Xenopus tropicalis: one gene and its partners. The protein of the gene in region 5 interacts with the protein of the main gene of each other region in a biochemical or structural test. Links are inferred from orthologs where the notes say so. Each region holds a gene or a part of one and is shown on either strand. Other genes may lie near its edges.

Region 1 (4,210 bases), about 12 Mb from region 5:
GGCAATACACAGACATACGACTGCATGGTGCTATGGTTGCAACATGCCAGCTAAGCCTTGCACTTACAGTCTGTATAGATATCCCTTGCACCAGCGCACGCTGCACCAAAGTAGGTGTAATGGGCAAATTGGCACACACCACTAGAATACTGGATGCAAGCTTTTTTTTGTATGCCATTTTGCCCACTTTTACGCTTGTCACTTTTTCTGGAAAAAAAATGGACATCATCTTTATTAAAGGAAAACTACATCCCCAATATAAAAGCATAACCAACAGATAGTTTATATCACATAAGTGGCCTATTAAAGAATCTTACCTTACTGAAATATATATGTATATCAGTGAATATTGCTCTTTTAGGTCTTTTCCCTTGACCCACCATTTTGTGATGGTCTGCGGTCTCACATATCACCTGACAGGAAACAATGCAGCGTTAACTGTAACAGGAAGAAGTTTGGGAGTAAAAGACAGAACTGTGCCCATTCATTGGCTGATGGGGCCTAATGTGTATGTGTGCCTTGGCTTGTTTGTGTCACTGTGAATAGCATGATCCCAGGGGCAATGCTTACAATTATATTATATAAATATATAAACATATATTTTCATGTATTTTTCAATATATAATTGATTGTTTGCAATAGATGCAGTGTTGCTGGTCTTTTTCTCAATATTTAAACTCTTTTACCGTACACCCGGGACAAGGATTGAAGCGGTGTGCCTCCCTTGGTTCGATATATATAAACATATATATTTCATCAACAATGTTCACATATTGTTTTCTTTTAATACCATTGGCATCAAATATCATTACCAGCCAGGTGCCAACAACCCCACCAACTACAGTATCTAGCAATTGGCATATTTCATAATTACTTCCTAGTCCCATACATTGTGGTTTAACTACATATCCCATCAGCCCCCATCAGACAGGCGGCTGAAATAGACGCTTGTAGTTTAGCCACAAACTACATGTTGCCCCTCTCTCTCGTACAACCCACTACCTTATTTTGCCGACGCTTGCCACACCATACATATTTATACCCATGCCTTCCCTTTTTTTCCACCACCCTCTCCATTTCCTCCTTCGCCCCCCGTCCACTTCTCTCCCCCTCCCCTCCTGTGTTTACTACACTCAGCACTCTCCAGTAACAGGCTACATGCTCAGCTCAGATTCCTCAATGGCGGGCGGCACGCCTCAAAACGCCGTCTCCTAGCTACCGGAAGCCGCCTCCAGGCAAAGCTAGCCAATCGGCTCTCAGTTCCGTGTGTCCACCTCGCACGTGTTTTCTATTCCCACCCCCTGTGCGCTGCGGGCCCCGCCCATGCACGGCAGTGATTGGTAGAGAGCGGCAGGGCTGAACTGCTGGGGTTTGAAACCGCATAGGAAGCCACGCCCAGAGAGTGGAAACAACTCATCCCGCACGTAGAGAGAGAGAGGTATTAGCGGCAGCGGCGGGGGCAGGGACTGGGCAATATAAATATACACACATATTCCTGTGCCTCACTCTCATACTCGCACGGAGTGCTCACACCGCCGGCCGGGGCTATACTATAGGTGTGTGGGATAGGGGGGGTGAAGCTGCTGCTGCTTATGTACAGCCCAGTCACTGCTGCCTGTTTATACCCCCATAGGGACAAGACTGAGCCCTTCCAGTTACTAGGGGGCAGAGTATTTCCACTGTATGCGAGCATATAGGCACCTCATAGAGTGGAGCTGCTCACCCTGCATCTGGGCACTGTGGCCCCTCATTGCTGGGCTGCCAGCTTGGCTGTAGGTGCCTTTTATTTCACTTTGCTCTCTTTTTCTCAGTTTTGCTGTGCAAGTCCCTGTTGGAGGTCCTGAGTCCCCTATGCCACCAGGATCTCCCCCAGTAGTGTTCTCGGACATGCCCCTCATGCACAGCCCAGCTCTGGACCTGGAGAAGCTGGCGCTGGAGCGGGTCGTGCCTCGCTTGCTCGCCTCTGGATACTGCTATTTGGACAACTTCCTAGGGGAGGAGATAGGGAACCGTGTGCTGGAGAAAGTCAGGCGATTGTACCAGGACGGGGCGCTGAAGGATGGGCAGCTGGCCGGGCACCTGCAAGGAGTCTCCAAGAAACACCTGAGAGGTGACAAGATTGCTTGGGTCGCCGGGACAGAAGAAGGATGCGAGGCCATCGGACTGGTTTTGTCAGTTATTGACCGACTGGTGATGCTCTGTGGCAACCGACTTGGCCAATACTATGTGAAAGAAAGGTCCAAGGTGAGGCTCTCTGCATCTTTTCCTGTGTTTGGTCTTAGGCTTCCCCCCTTTATAAGCTGGGGACTAACAGTGAAGCCTAAGGCCAGCATACCGACTGAGCAGGTAGTAGTGTAGATTATTTCACATTGCAACATTTTAGAAATCCCACATTTCAAGGCTCCTGCCCCTGAATTTATCAGAGGTAGCAGATCTCAATAAAAGGGCGCACAAAGCCTCCTGCTCCGTCTGTTGCTGGAATGCTCTTAAGGTAGGGGTATGACCTACCTGAGATACTCAGACATGCAGAGAAGCCATGCATGGACCTGTTTCAATCCCCCAACAAGAGGATCTACTGGTAGAATTTACATTGTGATCAGTTGGCTGTATCCCCCCCTCCGCCAACAGACTGTGCTCCAAATGGAACCCAATCCTACTGGCTGTGTTAAGCTGTTTTTTTAACCTTTAGTTACACAAAACATATGGCTTTGTATGCCTCCACCCTGCACCTTCAGCATATGCCACGTATTAGCTTGCTTGCATGTCCTAAAAACTGAAATTTCCATTTTAATAAAAAAAAAAAAAAAAAAATACAATAAACCACAGGCCCCTATTCTCTTCTCATCCCTTGCCAAGTCTTATTCGTTCCATTTGTTCCATGTACCCTTATATAAGAGTCGGTGACATGTGGAATTCCATCACAGCTGTGGTCAGGTATGGGCACGGAAATAGAGAAACATCCTATTGACCCCATTCAACCAATTTATTTTATGATTTCTTGATATGCAACTTGGCCCTTTAATTTAGCATTTGCTGTAGGGTCCTAGAGAAATGTGTGACAGCAGGCCTTAGAGCCCTGTTTACCAGGACTGGGGTGGGGTTAGGGGCGTGCCCAACTACCTTATGGTCTGCACGTACATCTTGCATTAACCCCTCCAGTGCCACAGCTCTCTGGTGTTGGCAGTCACTTACAAGTCAAAGCCAGCTATGGATATTTATCCCTGTGAACGTTTTGTCACTGATGGGGGTTAAACATAGTTTTTGCACAAGCAACTCCTGAATGACAACATTTTAGGGAACACTGATACCCTTTATTTAGGTCTGCATTTGTTATTGAGCCGCCCACATGAATTCAGTAAAAGTCGCAATTGTGACAATACTAATGCATTGCATGTGCTGCCATGTACTGGTATTTATGTCAATTCACTGCTGTATATCTATTTACTGAGAAATGTTAATCCGTGCCTATTCACTTCTCAGGCCATGGTAGCATGTTATCCTGGCAACGGTGCTGGATATGTGCGCCATGTGGACAATCCAACGGGAGACGGACGTTGTATCACCTGCATTTATTACCTGAACAAAGACTGGGATGCAAAGGTAAGACGTTCCTCTAAATTCTTTTAGACCTCGTATACCCTGGTGATGAGCTGTGACTGTTGCAGTTGGTCATGGCGCTCATATCTTTAGTGTGTAGTGTGGCTCTCACAAGGAATACACAAATGAGTGGTTACACAGTGGTTGACATGTGGTGTATTGTGTTAGTACTGACCACCAGGCAGATGGCCTCTCAGTTTACAGTGTGGTGCAGCCACAGATCAACCATAGGAATGTATAACAGATTTACTGATATTGGCTGTGACAGAACACTAACAATCTGCTGGAACATTGCAGTCGCCGCTATATGTACTGAAACGTGCTGTGTCAGCTGCAGGTCTGTATGTGGCCTACAGATATTCATAGCTGGCACAAACTGGTTTCCTCATTGGCATTTTTTCTTTATGTTCAGTAGCTGCAGATTAGGTCACACGCATATAATCATCTGTGTAATCCAGGCTTTATGGATATTATTTTGCCCCCTTTGCTACCTAAAGCATCCATAGATTACTGCTACTATCAAACGGGAATTAGCCTTACCGTAGCTGAACTACACATTGCAAACTGTCTGCACTAAGTGTTTTCATTTATCTGCCAACCTGTTCTTTGGTGT
Region 2 (4,136 bases), on a different chromosome or scaffold from region 5:
GTCGTGCGGACGCCCGAAAAAATCGGCGAAAATACGCTCGGAGTGTTCACGCTTTTGTAAATGTGCCCCTATGTCGTTTTGCCTCAAGCAATATGGGAATTGAGCTACATGGAAGCATCAGCAAACTGTACTATAAAATGGAAGCTTAATGGTGATGGACTCAGTTACACCTTTAGGGCTCTGGCACATGGGGAGATTAGTCGCCCACGACAAAACTTCCTGTTCGCGGGCGACTAATTTCCCCGAGCTGCCTTCCCCTGCCATCCCACCGGCGAAAATGTAAGTCGCCGGTGGGATGGCACACGCGGCGGCGCGATTTAGCACAAATCGCCGAAGTTGCCTCGCGAGGCTTTTTCGCCGATTTGCAGGGGAAGGCAACTCGGGGAGATTAGTCGCCCGCGAACAGGGAGTTTTGTCGCGGGCGACTAATCTCCCCGTGTGCCAGAGCCCTTACAATCTAATAAATACAGCCAGGACTGTTTTCTCAAGAAAAGGCATTCATTTTTTATTGAGCAATATATTTCTATTAATGATAGGACTGACAATGCTTTACTGGACTGGCTGCTTAATAATTATTGATATCAATTTGGAAGAAGTGGCCCAATAAAGAAAATAAGCCTTATATATTGTGCTCGGCTTTATGTAACCTATGTCACTTTTTTTTATTGTTGTAACTCTGATATTTATTCTAAACCTGCTATTTTCTATGCACGACCCGTCCATCATTCCCTCTCTGTATTACAGATAATGCGGCCCCTTTAGTCACGTAGCCACTCAGTCGCAACTCCGACTGCTGCCATCTTGCTTCCTATTTGCACGTAGGCTGATGCCGAATAAAAACGAATACTTTAATAGCTGTGGCCAGTTATTCTAAATAATTAAAGAGCGACATTCTGCAATTCCAGCAAATGGCGCCCAAACCCTACAACGACCAGTCAAACTTTAATTTCCCTTCCCCTCCTCACACAGCTCTTCAATTGCTTGCTTTTCTCGTATGATTCGTCACTTAATGAAACGCCTTGGACTTCGTTCGATTATGATTGGCCCTTTTCAGTGTCACTCTAACCTTGGGAAGGGTTCAGACTAGAGAGCCACCACCCCCGCCACATTCTTTCATCTCCCTCCCCCATCACACACCGCCTCCGTGGCTGGGCGGGGTCACTCCACCTCTAATTGGTCAGCCTTCTCTGTCAGTCTCCAGCTAACTGCACCCACCGCGCCACCCCATTGGGCGGGTGGAGCCGCCCCTCGGCGGGAGTGGTTAGGCGGTCTGTCGATCTCCGCCCGTAGCCCCGCCTACTCACCGTCTCCGCCGCGCGGCAGCCAGGTTAGGTTGCCATCGTCAGCCGAGGTTTGTGTGAAGTACCTACGGCCCCAGAAACAACATGAGCGGTAAGCAGGAGAGTGGGCATAAGGGCGGGAGGTAACGCGGGTTCGCAAGCTTATCCCAGAGCCCCTCCTGGCTTGCTCGCACGCAGCTTGTGTGAGGGATCGCTCCCCCTGGCCACTTTGTGGGCTTTTTGCTGCGCGCCATGACTCGCTGGCGGAATGCTGAGAGCGGCCGGTACCACCGGAGGAGGAGGCGGGGGTGTAGAAATAAAGTCATATCCGCCCTCACTACTTCGTTCGTTCTCCTTCCTCGCCCCCTTTTTACTTTTCCCTATAACTGGAGAGGTGGTTGTGGCGGTAGAACCCCTCCCTGCTGTCCTCCTCTCCCGCCCTGTTTTTCTGCCCCCTTCGGTGGGTGGGGTAGAATTGTAAAATTGCCCCCCGCCCCTCCTAGCATGGTAGCCGGTACTTTTCGTGACACAGGGAAAGGGCAATACGTGACCCTAAAATGTTCCCCGGAACCCGTTGCCTTCGCCTATAATGTGAAGCCTGCGGCCCTCCTTCTGTAGCCCCCCCTGCCCAGAGCAATCCTTGCCTCACACTGGGGATATCTGCCCCTCTGGCGCCCAAACACTCCCAGTATCCGTAGCTGTGGGGTATCTGTAGTTCCCCTGAAACCATTATCCGCCCTCAGCTCGGGCAGTTTCACTGACATCGTATGGATGGGAGGGACCTTCATCCGGTAGATCCCTTCATTAACCTGCTGAACGGGGCCGCTGGGAGTTGTAGTTTGCCTCTGGAGTTGCCATTACTCGCAGGTGAAGCCTATGTAGACCATTTATATTTATTTGTAAATCATTTTACTTCTAGAACGTACTCCTCTACAGAGGGTTGTGGGAGTTGTAGTTCCACAACAGTGCTGCTAAGGCTATCTAGGCTGATAGATGGGAAACATGTTTGTGAGTCTCTTCACTTCCAGTATTGAGAGGTTTGTGAGAGTTGTAGTTCAGCAGTCTGTTTCTAAGCTGAGGGGTTTGTGTTTCTCAGGGAAGTAGGGCCGGCCATGTTGTAAGCCTGTGTGTGCATGTTTACTCACTGCCCTCACTCACACACTCTCTCTCTGTGCTTGTGCCCTTCGCTGACAGCAGATCAGGAGCACACGTCCGATGACATGCCTACGATAAAGTCCGAAAACCGGACAGGAGGTGGATACATCCAGAAGGGGCAGGTAAGCGGAACCCACCCATATTGCATTATACACAGATAGGCAGGGACCATGCCTGGGAACTATCCAGCCCTCTCGCCTTGGCTGCCTGTACACTGGATGAGCATGGGGGAGGGGGGCTGAGGCCTTTTTTTTTTTCCTCCTTTCTCTTTGAGAATGGCTGCTGTCCTCCCACCCTTTGGCTGGCAAACCTCCCACCCCCTGTTCCTGACTGCCCACTTGGGGCAGGCCCCAGAAACCCTTCCCCCCAGCCCTGTCCCTCCTGTTCTCTCTCTGGCTGTCTCCTTGACATGCTGGTTTGTTTACATGCTGGCACTCTTTGTGCTGTTGCTAATACTGCAAATGGCACCTAGGACATAGCCGTAGAAGGGTTAAATTGACATTCACGTTCAGTCTTGCATCTTATTGGCAGCTACATTTTTAATTAAATTCAGCAACTGCATCTGCTGCTTCGGCTGGTGGGGGCCGAGTGTAAATGGCAGTTAGGGTTAAATCTGCTCAGATTTGTAGCAAAGGCTGGAAAGGCAATGCTCCACTAAATTTCACTGAGTGTTATTTTTGCTATTGTGCAACAATAAAATATCACTTACAGCACACACCCAGTTTATTCCATTGTGGGTAGTACTGTCTTTGTACCAACACCCACCTAGGCATGGTTATCTCTGCAGCTTGTGCTGTCTTAGGCCATCGCAGGAGGTGGCGCCCCCAACTGATGATGTTGGATATCTTCCCAACGCTGAACCATGTATATGTAATAGAGTGCTACAGCTATAGAATCCCTTATCCAGAAAGCTCTAAATTGCTTGCAGACCATCATAGAACTAAGTTTAAAGGGCACCTATCACCATTTAGTTTCTTCCCGCCACCAGAGGTGTAGGCTTTAGAGCCCGCATTCTGGAAAACAATAGGTTTTTTTTTTTAAACAGCCCCCACGGGCGGCCATGTTATTTAGCGTGCATGTGCATAATGAGCAAGACTCCTCACTCATTGTGCGCAAATGTGTGACGTAGGAGCAGCACACACACACACACATATATATATATATTATATGTGTGTGTGTTTCCCCCAACCAGAGTGCGGGCTCTATTAGCCTGCACCAGGATGTGGGGAAAGCAATTCGATGTGATATTATGCTAATAATACTAATTTATAAAAATGATTTCCCTTTTCTCTGTAATAAAACAGTAGCTTGTAATCGATAGTATCTTAGCTGCATAAATCTGGGGCAAAACAATTCTTTTGTGTTTTGTATAGTGATGCAAATTACTCAAATCCCTTAAACCTAGGTCCATGCATTCAGGGTAATAGGTCCCATTCAAAGCTGTTTGTTTTTTTTTTTTTTGACAACAAATTTTCTTCCATTATTGACTTTCCATTATATTTATTATTTTAATGTAAAATAAGTAATACTGTGTGTTTTTCCTGGGAATGCACACTAACATGCCTGGGCAATGACCCACCTGCACCATTACCTCTCTCACTAACATTGGGGTAAGCTAAGGCTAATGCCACACGTAGCATATGGTGCATTGGCCTGCCTTCTCCTGTAAGGTGGTCACTCTTTCTACCATCTTTCTGTGTG
Region 3 (3,500 bases), about 80 Mb from region 5:
AATGCAAAGGTTTTACTGTTTCATTGGAATCCCATAGCTCTAAGGCAATTATTGGACTCCCAGTACCCAGCGCAGCCCGTATAAATCATGCAGGGAGATGTAGCCAAACAACAGGTAGAGAGTAGCTGGTTTAAGACCTCAGTGTAGAAAGTGGTTTGATGCTGAAAAGAAAGTGGGGGTCAGTGCCCATATTTACCCCTCTAAGTAGCCATATTACCCTCCAAATAGTAGCATGGTATGTGGTGCTGCTTCCATGTATTTTCTATAATGACAAAAATTAGCGCCCTATGCCTTGGCTTTCCCCGTGGTCTGCTGAACCATGGCACAGCCTCCCGTATATTTCCTTTGCTCAAGAATAATATGGGATCTGTTAATGTTATGGCACCTTGTGTTCCCATGTTAATTCCCCCTTACCCTCCCATTGCCTGGCAGATTCTGTGCATTCACCTGAAACGTTTCCGGCATGAAGTCATGTACTCCTTCAAAATAGGCAGCCACGTCTCATTCCCTCTGGAGGGGCTTAATCTGAGGCCCTTCCTGGCTAAAGAATGTGTTTCTCGCATCACCACTTACGACCTCTTGGCTGTTATCTGCCACCATGGCAGCGCTAGCAGTAAGTATGGCTAAGGCCAGTGAAGGGTACATTATGGAGCTGTAACTTATTGTATAGTACTGTAGCCACCTACACTAATTCACCCCCACTGCCCTTGCACTGTATAGGTGGGCACTATATATCTTACTGCCAGAATGTGATCAACGGACAGTGGTATGAGTTTGATGATCAGTACGTCACGGAGGTCCATGAGACGGTGGTTCAGAATGCAGAGGCCTATGTTCTCTTCTACAGGTAAGGAAAGAGTTACTGGGTCCCCACAGGCAGGTTGGGTAATCCATAGATCCCCATTATCCTCATTCATTTGCTTGCTTGTAACTCTCTGCCCTTGTTTGGGGCGCCAGGAAGAGCAGCGAGGAGGCAGAGCGGGAGCGGCAGAAGGTGGTGTCCTTGGCAGCCATGAAAGAGTCCGGCCTGTTGCAGTTCTACATCTCCCGTGAGTGGCTTAACAAGTTCAACACATTCGCAGAACCTGGACCAATTAACAACCAAAGTTTCCTCTGTTCACATGGAGGTAAATATACACAGGTCTTTCAGTGGTTTTATACTGGCATGGAGTAATATCCCTTGCAGAAGGGATCCCCTGAATCTGCCCGCCATTGGCTGTGATATATTATTGCCAATGACAGACAGCATGACCAGATTTGGGTGCTACTTTATTGGCAGAAAACACGCCCCATGCACTCATTCCTACCCCTTATATGCCCAAATGCCATTCTGTTACCCTCTCTGTCATGCCATTCTTAATTTCTTTGCCCATCCTTCACCATTGCTGTGCAGGGCACTAATGTAATACAGGAGCATAAACAATTCTCTTGCCTTTTATTTACCCTGCTGGGCAACCAACTAATGCCACTGAGTGCACATCTCCAGAATGATCAGCCCCTCTGTTGTTGATTTCACAGAGCATGGTGGGTTGGGGGAACATTACAGTTACATTTCCCATCTCCTAAAAGTGTAGAAGTGCCCACTATTGGTAATAATGAGATTGTTTGGCAAATCAAATAGGGACATAGCAGTCACACCTAGGAACCCCATTGCTTCCCCCAGTTCCAAGAGGCCACGTTCCAAGGTCTGAACTCATTAAACCTCATGGTGTCTTTATGTTTTGCAGGAATTCCCCCCAACAAATATCATTATATTGATGATCTAGTGGTGATTCTCCCGCAGAGTGTATGGGAATATTTATACAACAGGTAAATATCTCTCAGTGCTCTATCTGCTCAGTTGGATCTGGCATCGGCATAGCTTATTGGAATTGTACATTATTGCCATATTTACTAAATATCTTAATTTGACCGACAATGTTTCCATGCTGTGCATCCTATCTATTCACTTATATTTGTTCCGATGTTTTAACCCCTTCAGGTTTGGAGGAGGACCCGCAGTGAATCACTTATATGTCTGCTCAATCTGCCAGGTGGAGATTGAGGCTTTGGCGAAACGCAGAAAGACAGAAATTGACACTTTCATTAAGGTCAGTTAAGACCAAAAGGAAATTCACTTGCACAGTAAATAGGATTAATATCCCATAGTGACTCCATAGCAATCCTGCCTAATCCCAATGCTGCCATAGTTTTATGGTATCTCTTTGTACAGGCTATGAGCAAATTTAGGGGGCTGTTCCTTCTGGAACATACCAGATGCAGTTTAAATTAGCAGTTAGCATAAGCAAAAAATATGAAGAATTCCATACACCGTCTTTCATTTGCTCCTCCTGCAGCTCAATAAGGCATTCCAAGCAGAAGAGGCCCCCAGTGTAATATACTGTATTAGCATGCAGTGGTTTCGGGAGTGGGAAGCCTTTGTTAAAGCCAAGGACAGTGGTAAGTTCACGTTGCTTCCTCCTATTCTGCCTTTCCAAGGATGAGAGCCTTCTTCCTTAAAATACTGGCTGATCTAGGACTGACCTGTTACTGGGTACATAGGAATTCTTAGTATGGAACTCCCTACACCCCTGAGACAGTACAGTACAACACCTGTAGGAAAGAGAAATATGGGCATGCATATTACCTGTACTGCCCAGTAGGTGGAGCTGTTGCTTTTCACTGTTTTCACTGTTTCTAGCTAATATTTATACCCCTAAACCAGTGATCCCCCAACCAGTGGCTTGGAGGCAACATGTACCAAATAAAGCCCCCTGTAAGCTAATAGTGTGCATAGAGCCTGCCTAATAGCCAATCTTAACCCTTATTTGGCACCTCCATGAACTTTTATGATGCTTGCGTTGCTTTTTACATTTCACTGTGGCTCAGGAGTGGGGTTTACATGACCCCTTTAAATAAAGGGAGCCATGTTTTCCTACACCAGCCAATGAATTTCATATCCAGCTATTCACATGGCTGTCCTGCCTTCCTGTTTGAGAGCCCAGATTAGGTCAGAACAGAAGCAGGGCAGCAGCATTGATAGAAGGCATGTGAGTAACTCTTGCAGCCATTTATATTAGCCACTAGAGCCCTAGTTCATTTCCTTGGGTGCCCAGATGGTACTGGCTAAAATCCCCAGCATTCTTTAACAGATAATCAAGAGCCTGCTGAGAGTTGTAGTCCATGAACATCAGGGGACATTTCTGTGGTCCATTTCAAGGACAAGGAAACCCCTATTCATTAGGGGATGCCAGTTGGTTTTACAGTGATGAATGATTCTGGGTTTCCTATGCCTTTTTTTTTTTTTCCTTCTTGTAATAATTATTTTGGTTCCAACCAAGTAAATGCACCACTGTATTTTTTCCCTAGATCCTCCCGGTCCCATTGATAACTCCAAAGTGGCGTTGACAAAGAGCAGCGGGCAAGTACAGCTAAAACAGGGTACGTCTGCCACCTGTGACTTTGGCTCCTTGGGCAACGTTTTCACTCCCTGCCAAGTCCTTATTTTTCTTTGTCTGCAG
Region 4 (3,500 bases), on a different chromosome or scaffold from region 5:
CCGAGTCTCTCCTGGGGGGGCGGGGTGTCACCCTGTATTACTCCCTGCATGTGATTTTGCCATTACCACTTGCCTCAGAGAAGCTGTATTGTGAGTAAACCTAGTGGATGATCAATAAACACTTGTTATTTTGTTATTTGCAAGAATCTCTGGCACCCTCTGTTTTTATTTTTCTGTATAGCAGCAAGAGTGGTGTAGTAGTTTTTTCTGAAGCAAGTTATTATCGCTGTTCATTGCACCTTAGTAAATGGACGCCCTGAAAATAGGCCCTGAAATTCCAAGTACACGGAACTCCAAATACGCCCCACATAGGGTAGCCACCTCTGCCGGCTTTTTTTGCCAGGTAGGGGGTGGGTGGTGACATCACGGGGGTGGGGAAGAGGCAGGGCTGTGACTTTGCAGGGGCGGGAAAGAGGTGTGGCAGTAACATCGCTGGGTGGAGATATGTCAATCTTAGTGAGTCCTGTCCAGTTTTCCTTATTTGGAAATCCCGGGATGGAGGTTTTGACCTGGACAGCCCTTCCAAAAATAAGGCTGTCTGGGTCAAAACCAGACAGGTGGCAACCCTAGCCCCACAGTAGGGTTGCCAGATCACTTGGAAATTAAGTGACACATCTAGAAAATGTCAGTGGCAGTGACAGTGTGGAATGCCTGCAGCCAGAGATTGACAATGTGATAATGGGTGCCACAGTGAGTCATAAACTACTGTTCAAAATAATTTGCATGTACGCAGAGTGCGAATGGAGCTATAGACATACACTATGCCCAAAGTAGTTGCTGTTATGGGTTAGACACACTAGGGGGCACATTTATCAAAGTACGACAGGTACGAAATACATAAAATTCATATTTGGTCGTACTGTGCGTATTTTCTGTGACTTTTTCGTACTTTGCGCTTCTTTTTCGTGCATTTGCGCGACTTTTTCGTACTTTGCAACAAAATTTGTGCGACGAGTACGAAAGTTTCGGATTCATTCAAGCTTCAGTATCGTGACTTTCCTTGGGCCAGGTTGGAGCTGCAGAGTGCCATTGAGTCCTATGGGAGGCTTCCAAAATCATGCACAGAAGGATCAAAGTCAGAAAGGTTTTCCCGTTCGATACGAAAATTTTGTGACTTTCAGCCAATATGATATTATCGCGACTATTCCAATTTTTTTCGTAAGCATTTTCTTGGTATTTGCGATCATCCGAAATGATCGTATGTAATCCGAATTTTTCCCATCTCGGGATTCGAACTCGTACTTTGATGAATGTACCCCTAGGTGTAAAAAGAATGATATGCAAGTAGCATAGTGCAAAGCTTTTTTTTTTAATTTTTAAGGCAAGCGTTTTGCCGCAAATATATGCCATACGCCTGGTCTGACATTAGCCTAATATTACTTAGAGCTTGACTGCTAAGGGGGCATGGTTGCAGCATGTTTTTAAGTGCTTCAGATTAGTGCTAAATATTAGCACTGTGCATCCATAGTAAATGAACCCTGACAATATTTAAGACATAAAGGCGCAGGATGTCACTCCCCCCAACAGCATTTTTCCTCCCAAAGCTGCAGACATGTAGGTATTCCCATTTAGATTATATATTCTTCTGCAGCAGAAGAAAAATGTAAAACATTCCAAATGATTGCTGGTCTTAACCAAAAAGTTCAGTGTAAGCATATGGAACAATTGGCTTGTGTTATGTGCAGAGAAATTACTTTGATTAAATATACAGGCCTGCACAGGAAAAATATACACGAGCAAGATGGACTCTGTTTATTGACACAGGCGTTGGATAGCAGACTGCATGGCATCGTTTGGAACTAATTGAGAAATTGCCTAAGCAAAACTTACATTTGTGGTATGTAGCAGAGTTTTTTTATTCCCCAGTGATGACAAAGAAGTTTGTTTCTTGCTCTCAGCTGTATCAGTTTTTTTTATTTCAATAAAGACATGGGAAAATCCCATTTAGCTTGCTTGCCAAGGTGATTTCAGATGATTTTGCAACAGAAACACTGTACTCATATCTTAAAGAGAAATACAATAGAGGCTGTGCCTGCACTTAACAGAGCAAAACAGTGTTGAGGCCTGTTTCAGCACCTCTGTGGAATCTACAATAGGGTGATCAGATCACTTAAAAATTCAGGGACTTGTTGCAGGGCAGCATTGATTGCATTTGAATTAAACTGCAATTTTTTAGACGTGCCCCTGACTTTTCAAGTGATCTGGTCCCCCTATCTACAAGGTAATTCCTGGTTTTGGACTTTGGAATTTCCAGATAGGATGTCTTTTTTGTGACGTTGAGTACCATGCCTTAAGACTATTAAAGTATTTATACTTGAAAAAAACCCAACAGGATTGTTAAGCTATCAACATGGATTCTTCCTAGCTAAGTTAGCATCAAGATTTATTCCAGGGGAAAAGAACAAATCAGTTAAAACAGGACATCATTGGACATGGCAATTCTTTATTTTAGAGCTTTCTATATACCAGCTATATACCACTGTACACAGTGCCGGATTTATATCTTGGGCTGCAGTTTTCCCTTTGCCCACCCTTTTCCTTTAAGATTGCCAGGTGTGCATAGCCTATTGTGCATTCACTGGTTGAACTGTATCCCAGAATTTATTACCTGTCCACCAATAAAAACTTTCCTGCCTGTTGCAAATACAATTTACAATTTTTTTTATGTTTGAAAACCTAGTAGGTAAAGGTATGTGCTTCTAACTTACCACTGTGCAAAAATGTAAATATGTTGTATGTTGCTAGTGCAATATAAAAAAAAAACTAATTTCAAACATGACATTAACCATTTTTTTATTCTCAAAAAGGTTAAAAGAATTGTGGACTTAAAATGACTGAGCGCTTTGACTGCCACTACTGCAAGGAGTCTCTCTTTGGCAAAAAGTACCTGCTGAGGGAGGAGAATCCCTACTGTGTGAAGTGCTATGAGAGCCTATACTCTAACTCATGTGAGGAATGCAAGAAGCCAATAGGTTGTGATGGCAAGGTATGCTATATTTTCCTTTGGGTCATTGCCTGTATGGGCTAATTCAAGAAGATTTGGCATTTGTCTTTAGAAAGCTACACAATTGTTTCTAGTGAGATAATAGTCAAATAGCCAGCAAATTCAATGTTGAACCTCAGGCCCTATCTTCCCAATCAACTGCTGTGTGATAAGAAAGGGTGGATTTATCATAATTTTAAAAAATATTTTTTATTTTTCTGTCTGAATGTTTCTTGATTTTTTTATTCTTGGGTATGTATCATCTGTTGCTTTAACTTTCTCAAACAAAAACATTGTTCTCAAATTGCACAAAGTTCCTATAAACATTAAATTTTTAAAGAATTCTCAGCTATTTGGAATGATAGCAAGTGAACCATTGGTTTTGAATGGGTTTGTTGAAGTGCTAAGAGGACACAAGAACATTTGAATAGCTGAATATCTCAAAATCTCAATCTGTAGAATTTGTTTTTATTAAGAAAGACCTTCATTTTTCATATTTTCCTTTATTAAATGAGTC
Region 5 (3,247 bases):
TTACATGGAGTGTGATCTTCTAAATTATCTCCCTTGGACTGTGCAGTCACAGAGGGCAGAAAGGGATAATTTAGTCTTCGTCTCTTTCCATGCGTGCTTCAACTGGGTTTTTGCAGATAATTTTCAGCAGAAGTGCCTAAATTTTACTTCTGTTTATCATCATACTAACGGAGCATTTTAAATGCACCGGTTTACTGTTAAAGCAGGTCTTTATTGAGTCGTAAGTGGATTTACAGGCAAATAATTTTGTCTCTTTCTCCCTGTAGCCTAGTACACCTCCAGAATATTGCTTTGATGTTGACAGCGAAATTGCAAGCGAGTTCAAGCTGGATTTGGTGGAAAAACTGTTTGCAATAGACACAGAGGCAAAAGCACCATTTTCTACCCAGGTTTGTGATTCATAAGTACTTGTTTTCTCTACATTGCATTAGTCAATTAAAAAATGCAGTTATAAGTAGAGTAAATATGATTAAACCTTTCACCATCATCACAAGCAAAAAAGTGTGAAAAAAAGATTGAAAGCCATTTTAAGTGGGGAGATACAGGGAGGGTTCATGTCCCTTGGGCAAATGGCTAAAAGGTTTTAGACAAGGTGACATGGATATACAGAAGAATTTTTTTTTTTTGTGAGGCATCTTACAACTATGTATTAGGTGAGGGTCAGGGTGGATTGAAGAGCCGCTCAGAATACACATATGAGGGCTGGTAGAAGAAAGGACTCATGTACTGTGCAGCTTGAAGATTCCAGACATCAGACGGTGCTGCACAGCTTACTCAGGGCTCCTGCTCTTCTACAGTGTGCTTGCTGGTGAGTGTTCTTTTGGCGCAATAAAATGTTTGTGTGCATATCTGATGTATGGAAGAGCATATACAGTTGTATGAATGTATTGTTTTTATGTACTGTGCATTTATTCTTTAATGCATGTACAATGCAAAAAGCTTATGCAAAAAGCTTATTTATATGCTTGTGTAGCCTGTAGCCATTGCTTTTGGAGGTTACATTACTTACATCTTCCAGGTGTCCCTCTTCAGACTTATATTCGCACACACGCACTAGAGAAAACCCAAAGTAAGTCTCTGCTAGGGATGCCTGGGAAAGGTAAGAAAATTGGCGGCGTAGTTTTGCATTAGTTTTATTACCAAGCCATTGCATTTTTTTCTTAAGAGATGGGGGTGGGAGCCTAACATGTTGGTACCCCCAGCGATTCTAGGTTTCTATATCCTTTAAGGCTACTACATACAATTACATTTTTTTTCTTGCAGCTTCATGGCAGTCCTTTGGGAAAGGGTTTTTTTTTTATGTTTGTGCATTCTAATAAACCCATGCACAAAACAAGGTCCGTATAGAATTGGACTGCCTAAATGTGAGTGGAAGAACTGCAGTGGAATGAATTAGGACACCAGCTGCTAGCCAGACCTGATGCCCATTTTCAGTGTTCAGTCTCACTTATGCTCTTGTAGTTGAATGGAAGTAAATCTGAACCAACAGTGCTTCATGACCTAATAGAAAGGGAGGGCCAATGTCATATTAATACCCTTGCAGGTACCTGGTTACTACTGGCAATATAGTGTGCCTGTTTCCAGGTACCATCTCATGTATGTTGTTATTTTTCTTTTTGTTTGCTTTGCCTTTAGAATAGCCAAGTATCCTTTTTGTTTTTGTTGATTTTTTCAGTGTATTTAGATTTTTATATAAGTTCAGTTGTGTAAGATGTCTGTATAGCTACTGCTACTGTATTGCTATTGTAACTGAGTGCCGTGCTTTATATACTCCTTTACATTTGAACCTGTTACTGCACCTTGTTTGATATAATTATTCTCATTAATATGCATATAACTCTTACAGGAAACAGACTTGGACTTGGAGATGTTGGCACCATATATTCCTATGGATGATGACTTCCAATTGCGAACCTTTGACCAACTTTCATCTTTGGAATGTGATTCATCAAATCCACAAACCTTAGGAAGCATGGCCACTCTATTTCAGCAGTCTCTTTTACCATCCTCCAGTGATTTCAAGCCTGAGGATGCCATAAATGATCTGAAAACCATTATTCAGTCACCTGTCCATAGTGCTCCAGCATCACCATTTGATGGAAACAGAAGCCGCACAAGTTCACCAGTAAGGCCAGCCAAATCAGCAGTAGATAAAACTGAAGTGTCTCGTCCAGGAACTCCAAATTTACCTGTTCAGTTAAAGAAAAGGTATTTAATCTTTTATATAAATCAGTAACTTCAAAATGTTCACTTAAAGTTCACGTTTTAATGAATTTGCCACATAAATTCACTAGTAAGAACCTATAAATGATGTCAGGATGGGTAGCTGAAAACAGAAGGGTGGTTGTTTGAGGAATTGGAGGTTTGTGTATTAGTGCACCAGCCTATTCCTCTAGTCAGATACCTGTACTGTGTTCTGTGCTCCGGAAATGTATTGTGCTTGCACCACTGAGTTATGCCATGCTGTTTATTCTCAGGTGTACAGTTTTGGATGAAGAATTGAATCCAAAGATGGTTGCTTTACACAATGTTCAGAGAAAACGTAAAATGGAAAGCGATGGCCCTCTTTACCAGGCTATTGGAATTGTAAGTTTGACAATCTTAATGTATAATAAACAAATAATGGAACAATTCTCAATCATTTTTTTTCTCAATTATTTTTTCAATTTAATGGTTATTGAAAGCATTTTTTGTTTATCCCTGAGTCTGACTCTTAAAACGATTTAACAAAAGTCAGATCTGCTCTAGGTTAATCAGCTGGCTTGCAACATTGTTTCAGGAGTCAGAGCCAGGAGAGCAGAAAGTGCAAACATTAAGACAAACACTGCTTTCAGTTGTAATACCTGTGTGCGGGTTGACCATTTGCACCCACCCACGAATATACCTCTACTTATATAACTGTGCCCAGCCCATTCCTGATGCCATGGAGGCAGACGTGCACCTATTAAAAAAAAAAAAAAAAAAAAAAAAAAGCCTGAACCTGCCTGCGACCAGAATATGCTGTGCGAGTGTTGGCCTGAAAGTGGCTGACCCGCAGATTTCAGGCCAGCCCACACATCACTACTGAGTGTGTACAAATCAGTTTGGCATTTTAAGAGAGTCCTAAGGGGAAAGGTGGTTAGGGAAGTGGTACTGCAACTGTTATGGGCCTATTTAACAATTTAGGAGTTTGTGAATTTGAGTTTGTTTTTCGAAATCAAACAAACTTGCATATCGAATGTTCGTTATTAATATTGAAAAATTTGTT
Region 6 (4,110 bases), about 30 Mb from region 5:
ACCCCCAGAATGAATACTTAACCAACAGATAGTTTATATAATTTTAAGTGACCTAGTAATCTCACCAAAATGGAATATATATATATATCAGTAAATATTGCCCAGCTCTAACCGTAACAGGAAGTAGTGTGGGAGTTAAAGACAGAACCCTGTCTATTCATTGGCTGATGGGGCCTAGCATGTATGTGTGCCTTGGCTTGTTTGTGTGCACTGTGAATCCTATGATCCCAGGGGGTGGCCCTTAATTCTTAAAATGGCAATTTTCTATTTATGATTACGCAATAGCACAAACTACTAAAAATGTCTATTTTTATGAAAATGGTTTATTTAGATGAAGCAGGGTTTTACGTATGAGCTTGCTTATGCAATATATTTTTGTAGAGACCTACATTGTTGGGGGCTATAGTTCTCCTTTAATGGTGGTTTCAATCCCAGTTTACAGTTTGGTTCAATCAAAAATAGTGAGAACTTTGCCATAGGCTGCGTGTGGCTTAAAGAGCAGAATTTTTTTTTTTTTATAAGGAAATTGTTCAGTGCAGGAGATACTGCAGTGTCCCTGCCCTAGTTCAGGTGGGGGAGTAAGGAGCAGGGCGCAAGGTGTGGACTATAATGCCAAAAGGTACCCCTACAAACAGAGATAACTCTATAAAGGAGATTCCCCAGTGGTGAAAGAGACCCAGTGGGGCACTGACTAATATAATACATGTAAAGCATGTTTTGAAGCACTTTTAATGTTTCTAATGTTTTATTTCCTGTTTATGACAAAAAAAAACTACTTATGCCTGCCGCCCAGTATCCTCATGATAGTTACGTTTTAAACAACAATATATCCAAGATGTGCGTGTTCCACACTTACGGCAGCTAACATTCCACAACCAATATGGCGCCAGCACACAGTCATATAAGCATGGGAACCCTCTCACGTGTGCTACAATCAGAACGCAAACTAGCCTGCGTACGGTCAGCCTATCCCCGCGATTTCTCTATTTGACAGGGAAAGTAGTCACCAGTTGATTTAATAGCCAATTCTGTTCTAGCGCTTATACCTATGCTTGGAATTCACGTTGTCATTCATATTTTCTTTTTTTGTCTTGTTTTAAAAGATTTTAAAGTAGCGCGATTTTTTAGCCTAAGTTGCACTGTACGACATTCTGCAACTCGCTGCCATGTTGAAACTCGTTTCTGGTGATGTAAACAAGTAATGCATCCGGGTAAAGGCGTCCTGACGCAAGGCGGCGCAGCGCGCTTACGTCAGGACGCCGCTTTGTATAAAAGGCGAGGCGAGGCCTAGTTCAGCCTCTCTTCGGTCGCTTTAGGCCCGGTGTCTACCATCTGTCTCCATCCTTTGCCGGTGGAGCGGTTTCGGACTCATCGCAGCCATGACTGAGCAAATGACACTTCGGGGGACCCTAAAGGGCCATAATGGCTGGGTCACGCAAATCGCGACTACCCCACAATTCCCGGACATGATTCTCAGCTCTTCCAGAGGTGAGATGCATGAGACGCCTACTGTAGCCTATCGATCCACGCAAGTTTATATGCATTGCGGTATCCGGGACCCCGTTTATCGTTAGAACAAGAGCATGAATGCTTACACGTTGCTTTTTTCAGCCCTGGTAAATGTGATTGCTGTAACTACTTAGTGTCGCTGTGTGATATGTTACTGTATCGGGGCTAAAATGGCTCCTCATTCATTATGCGTCATTGGAAGTCCTAACTATAATGAAGCTTTTCTTTATCTGTCGTTTTGATTAGCAAGGGAAAGATGGTGGTAGATTTTGCGGGCTAACTTACCTTTTAATTATGGTGTGAGCGATATATGATGTATAGTGGCAGCTATTGTTTGCTAGAACTTTGTTCCTTAGCCCTTGGTACTGAAGAATTTGCAGGCTGACAATGCCATAGAGTTGTATGAGCAGTGGTGGAAGTGTTTTTTCTTTGCACATCTCATGTCTTCATTTTTCTTGCATACTAGATAACCTCATTCTTCTGGCAGTTTGGGTTGTGCAAAGGAAAAACATCTTCACCTGCTTACAGACATAAAATGAGACACCGTAGACCAATGACAAGGTATGGCATGGCTTCGCTGTGATGGCATGGTTTATTTTGGGAGGGTTACCCCTGTGTGGAACTGCCTTGTTGGAGGTTTACTGCATAGAAGTTGAGGTTACCACTTATTTAAATCAGCAATAGTGTTCTTATGTCCTTTGACTTTTTTTTTTTTTTTTTTTTCCTCTCTGCACAGATAAGACTGTCATCATGTGGAAGCTGACTCGTGATGAAACAAACTATGGGGTTCCACAACGTGCTCTCCGGGGTCACTCCCACTTTGTCAGTGATGTGGTTATCTCTTCAGATGGGCAGTTCGCTCTCTCAGGATCCTGGGATGGAACACTCAGACTGTGGGATCTTACAACGTGAGTACACTTATCCTTGTTCCATTACCTGGCCTGTTAAATGGCTGCTTTTCAGAATGTTCAGCAAAAGTTACTGATCAGCAGCAGGGAATTAGACATGGTTTCAGTACTACAGAATTTGACTTATTACTTGGATAGAAGGAATGACTGGACTAACTTTAGCATTAAGAATCATTTGAGTCCACTTACTGTCAGACCAGAATATCCCTGCAGGGGAAGCATATGACAAAGGACCAGTTAAATAGTAACCTAGGTAGAGGGAAGCTATGAATCTGTCCCTCCCCCTGCAGGGTGGCACAGAAAGGAGTGTTCTGAGGGGAATGGATACTGTCATTTTGTCATCGTGTCAAATATCCCTCTGCAGTGGCACCACCACACGCCGGTTTGTAGGACACACCAAAGATGTCCTGAGTGTCGCTTTCTCTGCTGACAACCGGCAAATTGTGTCTGGATCCCGTGACAAAACAATCAAGCTGTGGAACACTTTAGGCGTTTGTAAATACACTGTGCAGGTATGTATGAGCGTTATAACTATATTTTAGTTCTGTTGGTCCACGTGATTAGAACAATTGTATTCTGAGTGTCTAATATAGGCACACTAATTTCAGGATGACACTCCTGCAATTATGAAGGGACCAAATAAACAGTCATTCTAGGTCTTTTGGCAGGCTGTTTACTAATGAAGCTGTCTTTCTTAGGAGGAATCACATACTGAATGGGTGTCCTGTGTCCGGTTCTCCCCTAACAGCAGTAATCCCATCATTGTATCCTGCGGCTGGGACAAGATGGTGAAGGTGAGTATTTTGGATGCCTCCAGTCTTAATACGGGTTCAGAGTTTTTTTTTTTTTTTTTTTTTTTTTTTTAAATGCATACTTGTTTGGTAAGTAAAGTGTTAAGCAGCTTTAAAGCGTTTTCACTCCCCCTTTAAATAGTGCACTACTGACCCCTCTTAAACAAGTACTAAGAACTAAGCCCTGAAAATAAGTGGCTAGAGATGCCCACTTTTATATACTGAATGTTCAGGTCTTCTGCAGTTGTCACGGGAACTCCCCATCTTGGATTTTATTAGTGTCGGTGACACTCGTGCTCAGTGTGCAGTTGAGATGCTAAGTCTAGGGGTTGTCGCAAATTTTCTAGCCTGTCAATAGTTCTAAGCTCGGGAAACAGAACAGAACAGAACATGTGCAGTGAATCATCAGAAAAGATGGGAAGCTACTGGGGCACATTACTTCTAAAGGGCTATGATTTCCTAGGGCTGTTACAAAAGCGCAAAACACATAATGTAAAAATAATTATGCCCTACTTCTGTAGTTAATCTTGCAGCTCTGCTTTCAGCCCCCATACATGGGCCTACCAGACACAGCATTTGAGTGATGAATGAATATTGTAGTGGCAGTACATGTGTGGCTTTTTTTTCTATTCAGTGTCGACACTGAACAAATTAGACAAATTGCAGAGTTGCTGCTTCCCTTCTGGCTGACTGGAAATTGGCCATGAGGACTGCTGATCCTTGATCTACCAGAATCATGGAATTATTTATCTTCCCCCCCCCCCCCCCCCCATCCTTTTGTATTGGCTATATAGGCACACAAAGTAGGCCCATATGGTCAAAATTGGCCAAACTACCCTACCAAGTCATGGCCAGTATCCTCTTGCACCTTTTTAAGAATACCATATGGTACAGGTTGTTTA
Region 7 (4,070 bases), on a different chromosome or scaffold from region 5:
CCCATCTCTGTCTCTGTATAACGGTACTGAGTATCTCTCCCCTGATACCCATCTCTGTCTCTGTATAACGGTACTGAGTATCTCTCTCCTGATACCCATCTCTGTCTCTGTATAACGGTACTGAGTATCTCTCCCCTGATACCCATCTCTGTCTCTGTATAACGGTACTGAGTATCTCTCCCCTCTCTGTATAACAGTACTGAGTATCTCTCCCCTCTCTGTATAATGGTACTGAGTATCTCTCCCCTCTCTGTATAACAGTACTGAGTATCTCTCCCCTCTCTGTATAACAGTACTGAGTATCTCTCCCCTCTCTGTATAACAGTCCTGAGTATCTCTCCCCTCTCTGTATAACGGTACTGAGTATCTCTCCCCTGATACCCATCTCTGTCTCTGTATAACGGTACTGAGTATCTCTCCCCTCTCTGTATAACAGTACTGAGTATCTCTCCCCTCTCTGTATAATGGTACTGAGTATCTCTCCCCTCTCTGTATAACAGTACTGAGTATCTCTCCCCTCTCTGTATAACAGTACTGAGTATCTCTCCCCTCTCTGTATAACAGTCCTGAGTATCTCTCCCCTCTCTGTATAACGGTAATGAGTATCTCTCCCCTTTCTGTATAACAGTCCTGAGTATCTCTCCCCTCTCTGTATAACGGTACTGAGTATCCCTCCCCTCTCTGTATAACGGTACTGAGTATCTCTCCCCTCTCTGTATAACGGTACTGAGTATCTCTCCCCTCTCTGTATAACGGTACTGAGTATCTCTCCCCCCTCTGTATAACGGTACTGAGTATCTCTCCCCTGATACCCATCTCTGTCTCTGTATAACGGTACTGAGTATCTCTCCCCTCTCTGTATAACAGTCCTGAGTATCTCTCCCCTCTCTGTATAACGGTACTGAGTATCTCCCCTCTCTGTATAACGGTACTGAGTATCTCTCCCCTCTCTGTATAACGGTGCTGAGTATCTCTCCCCTCTCTGTATAACGGTACTGAGTATCTCTCCCCCCTCTGTATAACGGTACTGAGTATCTCTCCCCTTATACCCATCTCTGTCTCTGTATAACGGTACTGAGTATCTCTCCCCTTATACCCATCTCTGTCTCTATATAACGGTACTGAGTATCTCTCCCCTCTCTGTATAACGGTACTGAGTATCTCTCCTCTCTCTGTATAACGGTACTGAGTATCTCTCCCCTCTCTGTATAACGGTACTGAGTATCTCCCCTCTCTGTATAACGGTACTGAGTATCTCCCCTCTCTGTATAACGGTACTGAGTTTCTCCCCTCTCTGTATAACGGTACTGAGTATCTCTCCCCTCTCTGTATAAAGGTACTGAGTATCTCTCCCCTCTCTGTATAACGGTACTGAGTATCTCTCCCCTCTCTGTATAACGGTACTGAGTATCTCTCCCCTTATACCCATCTCTTTCTCTGTATAACGGTACTGAGTATCTCTCCCCTGATACCCATCTAGTAGTTGAGGCAGGGGGCTAGTAGTTGGGGCAGGAGGCTAGTAGTTTGGGCAGGGGGCTAGTAGTTTGGGCAGGAGGCTAGTAGTTTGGGCAGGGGGCTAGTAGTTGGGGCAGGGGGCCAGTAGTTGGGGGCAGGCAGCTGTCAGTAGTGCCGTTTGTGTGAGTTTCTGAGCCTAGGGAAGAGTATATGGGCTGGCAGTTGGGGGCAGGCAGCTGTCAGTAGTGCCGTTTGTGTGAGTTTCTGAGCCTAGGGAAGGGTATATGGGCTGGCAGTTGGGGGGCAGGCAGCAGTAAGTAGCTGCGTGTGTGTGAGTTCCTGAGCCTAGGGAAGGGTATATGGGCTAGCAGTTGGGGGGCAGGCAGCAGTAAGTAGCTGCGTGTGTGTCAGTTCCTGAGCCTAGGGAAGGTTATATGGGCTGGCAGTTGGGGGGCAGGCAGCAGTAAGTAGCTGCGTGTGTGTCAGTTCCTGAGCCTAGGGAAGGATATATGGGCTAGCAGTGGTGCAGGTGCAGCAGGTATGTGCCAAGTTATGGAACACTACTCCCTGTGCTTATTGTTAGCCAAATCCTGCCCTTCGGTAGCCACATTAGTGCATGCTATATACTGTCCCTCTGTACTGCGTCCCTACATGCAACTGGCTCAGCTGTAAGGTGATCTTGCAGGGACATAACAATCGTCCCGGTACTGACCCATCAGATCCAATTCCCACTGATGTGCATTTAACAAACAGGAATAATTACCTACCAGTCACACCCATATCCAAATCTTCAAATATAGGGGACTTGCATTTTCCATGGCATTAAATGGCAACTGTCCAATAATCCAAAGTGAAGCAAAGAGGATGGTGCCCGGCCGGTAGAACTCCAGTTTGGCTCAGACGCCCGCAAGTTCACTCGGCGCCCCCACAATGCAAGGTAGCTGCACCCCAGCAGGAGCCCAGGGGCATTGCATGGGAATTAGGCGAGCCTCAGGTTTGTGGGGCTTGATGGGGAGAGAGCCATGTGGGACAGACAGCCGCAGTTAATGTTTCACCAGCAGATTGGAAGCAGCAGAAAGGCTTGCAGGGAGCTGTGCGTTTCAGCCGTGTCCAATTCATATTTCACTGTGACAGAGCACGGGAAAGGGGGACTTCCTGATTTGCCTTCCTCACGAAAAAGCCTTCCTGGCGGAAGGAGACAATGGGAAACTTATCACGTCAGCCACACACGCTTCCACCGCATCCACCGTAGCGCCTGCTATACACTCACATCCTCAGCTGGGCAGCCAGGCTGACTGGCACACACACTGGCACATTAGCCTCCCCGTGTTATATACACCTGCAGCTGGGCAGCCAGGCTGGCACACACACTGGCACATTAGCCTCCCCGTGTTATATACACCTGCAGCTGGGCAGTCAGGCTGACTGGCACACACACTGGCACATTAGCCTCCCCGTGTTATATACACCTGCAGCTGGGCAGCCAGGCTGGCACACACACACACTGGCACATTAGCCTCCCCGTGTTATATACACCTGCAGCTGGGCAGCCAGGCTGACTGGCACACACACTGGCACATTAGCCTCCCCGTGTTATATACACCTGCAGCTGGGCAGCCAGGCTGACTGGCACACACACTGGCACATTAGCCTCCCCGTGTTATATACACCTGCAGCTGGGCAGTCAGGCTGGCACACACACTGGCACATTAGCCTCCCCGTGTTATATACACCTGCAGCTGGGCAGTCAGGCTGGCACACACACTGGCACATTAGCCTCCCCGTGTTATATACACCTGCAGCTGGGCAGTCAGGCTGACTGGCACACACACTGGCACATTAGCCTCCCTGTGTTATATACACCTGCAGCTGGGCAGTCAGGCTGACTGGCACACACACTGGCACATTAGCCTCCCCGTGTTATATACACCTGCAGCTGGGCAGTCAGGCTGACTGGCACACACACTGGCACATTAGCCTCCCCGTGTTATATACACCTGCAGCTGGGCAGTCAGGCTGGCACACACACTGGCACATTAGCCTCCCCGTGTTATATACACCTGCAGCTGGGCAGTCAGATAGATAACAGAAAGATATATAGGCAGATACATAGATAGATAATAGAGAGATGGTAGATAGATGATTGATAGATAGACTGACAGATAGATAATAGAGAGGTAGATAATAGATGATTGATAGATAGACAGGCAGAGAGATAGATATATATAGTGAGACATATATATATACATATGTAGAGAGAGAGAAAGAAATAGTGAGATAGATATATAGAGAGAGAGAGAGATTGATATAGTGAGATAGGTAGAGATTGATTTACAGATAGATTGATAGAAAGATTAATAGATGACGATAGATATATTGAGAGAGATAGACTGACAGACAGTATAGGGCAGTGGTATTTGGATTTCTCGGGGGGGTGGGTTGAAGAACGTCTTTGTTGGTGAGTGGAAGGGGACTGAGCAAGTTGCAAGCAGTGCCCCACAGGTTGGAACTCGTGACAGATTGGCATTCGGTGCCAGGGAACATACTTGAACTGACAGCAGTACAAGTAAATAGAACCCCCCCGGGTGTCACTGACCCAGCCCCCAGCTGGATAT

What was found.
Region 1: the proteins of hif1a (region 5) and egln3 form a complex in vitro, tested with the Homo sapiens proteins (5 studies listed by BioGRID, with this or other methods). The link is inferred for Xenopus tropicalis from reciprocal best matches to the Homo sapiens genes HIF1A and EGLN3.
Region 2: the proteins of hif1a (region 5) and sp1 form a complex in vitro, tested with the Homo sapiens proteins (2 studies listed by BioGRID). The link is inferred for Xenopus tropicalis from reciprocal best matches to the Homo sapiens genes HIF1A and SP1.
Region 3: of the proteins of hif1a (region 5) and usp20, one has a biochemical effect on the other in vitro, tested with the Homo sapiens proteins (2 studies listed by BioGRID and IntAct, with this or other methods). The link is inferred for Xenopus tropicalis from reciprocal best matches to the Homo sapiens genes HIF1A and USP20.
Region 4: the proteins of hif1a (region 5) and fhl2 form a complex in vitro, tested with the Homo sapiens proteins (2 studies listed by BioGRID). The link is inferred for Xenopus tropicalis from reciprocal best matches to the Homo sapiens genes HIF1A and FHL2.
Region 6: the proteins of hif1a (region 5) and rack1 form a complex in vitro, tested with the Homo sapiens proteins (2 studies listed by BioGRID). The link is inferred for Xenopus tropicalis from reciprocal best matches to the Homo sapiens genes HIF1A and RACK1.
Region 7: the proteins of hif1a (region 5) and epo form a complex in vitro, tested with the Homo sapiens proteins (2 studies listed by BioGRID). The link is inferred for Xenopus tropicalis from reciprocal best matches to the Homo sapiens genes HIF1A and EPO.

The regions. Positions count from the first base shown.
Region 1 is NC_030684.2:113,846,467-113,850,676, reverse strand, and holds the start of egln3 (egl nine homolog 3), read left to right. Parts: upstream 1-1,410; 5' UTR 1,411-1,851; coding exon 1,852-2,244; intron 2,245-3,480; coding exon 3,481-3,600; intron 3,601-4,210. UniProt on the Homo sapiens protein: Prolyl hydroxylase that mediates hydroxylation of proline residues in target proteins, such as PKM, TELO2, ATF4 and HIF1A. Target proteins are preferentially recognized via a LXXLAP motif.
Region 2 is NC_030678.2:146,984,287-146,988,422, reverse strand, and holds the start of sp1 (transcription factor Sp1), read left to right. Parts: upstream 1-1,336; 5' UTR 1,337-1,385; coding exon 1,386-1,392; intron 1,393-1,699; exon of another isoform or gene 1,700-2,047; coding exon of another isoform or gene 2,048-2,147; intron 2,148-2,474; coding exon of another isoform or gene 2,475-2,477; coding exon 2,478-2,557; intron 2,558-4,136. UniProt on the Homo sapiens protein: Transcription factor that can activate or repress transcription in response to physiological and pathological stimuli.
Region 3 is NC_030684.2:22,450,482-22,453,981, forward strand, and holds part of usp20 (ubiquitin carboxyl-terminal hydrolase 20), read left to right. Parts: intron 1-432; coding exon 433-613; intron 614-720; coding exon 721-847; intron 848-957; coding exon 958-1,127; intron 1,128-1,727; coding exon 1,728-1,809; intron 1,810-1,981; coding exon 1,982-2,090; intron 2,091-2,336; coding exon 2,337-2,439; intron 2,440-3,348; coding exon 3,349-3,420; intron 3,421-3,500.
Region 4 is NC_030678.2:111,709,604-111,713,103, reverse strand, and holds part of fhl2 (four and a half LIM domains protein 2), read left to right. Parts: intron 1-2,807; 5' UTR 2,808-2,830; coding exon 2,831-2,986; intron 2,987-3,500. UniProt on the Homo sapiens protein: May function as a molecular transmitter linking various signaling pathways to transcriptional regulation. Negatively regulates the transcriptional repressor E4F1 and may function in cell growth.
Region 5 is NC_030684.2:101,960,627-101,963,873, reverse strand, and holds part of hif1a (hypoxia-inducible factor 1-alpha), read left to right. Parts: intron 1-266; coding exon 267-389; intron 390-1,846; coding exon 1,847-2,208; intron 2,209-2,477; coding exon 2,478-2,586; intron 2,587-3,247.
Region 6 is NC_030684.2:71,557,606-71,561,715, reverse strand, and holds the start of rack1 (receptor of activated protein C kinase 1), read left to right. Parts: upstream 1-1,310; 5' UTR 1,311-1,379; coding exon 1,380-1,488; exon of another isoform or gene 1,489-1,616; intron 1,617-1,975; exon of another isoform or gene 1,976-2,070; intron 2,071-2,245; coding exon 2,246-2,417; intron 2,418-2,781; coding exon 2,782-2,929; intron 2,930-3,115; coding exon 3,116-3,211; intron 3,212-4,110. UniProt on the Homo sapiens protein: Scaffolding protein involved in the recruitment, assembly and/or regulation of a variety of signaling molecules. Interacts with a wide variety of proteins and plays a role in many cellular processes.
Region 7 is NC_030679.2:152,067,892-152,071,961, forward strand, and holds the start of epo (erythropoietin), read right to left. Parts: upstream 2,801-4,070; 5' UTR 2,236-2,800; coding exon 2,223-2,235; intron 1-2,222. UniProt on the Homo sapiens protein: Hormone involved in the regulation of erythrocyte proliferation and differentiation and the maintenance of a physiological level of circulating erythrocyte mass.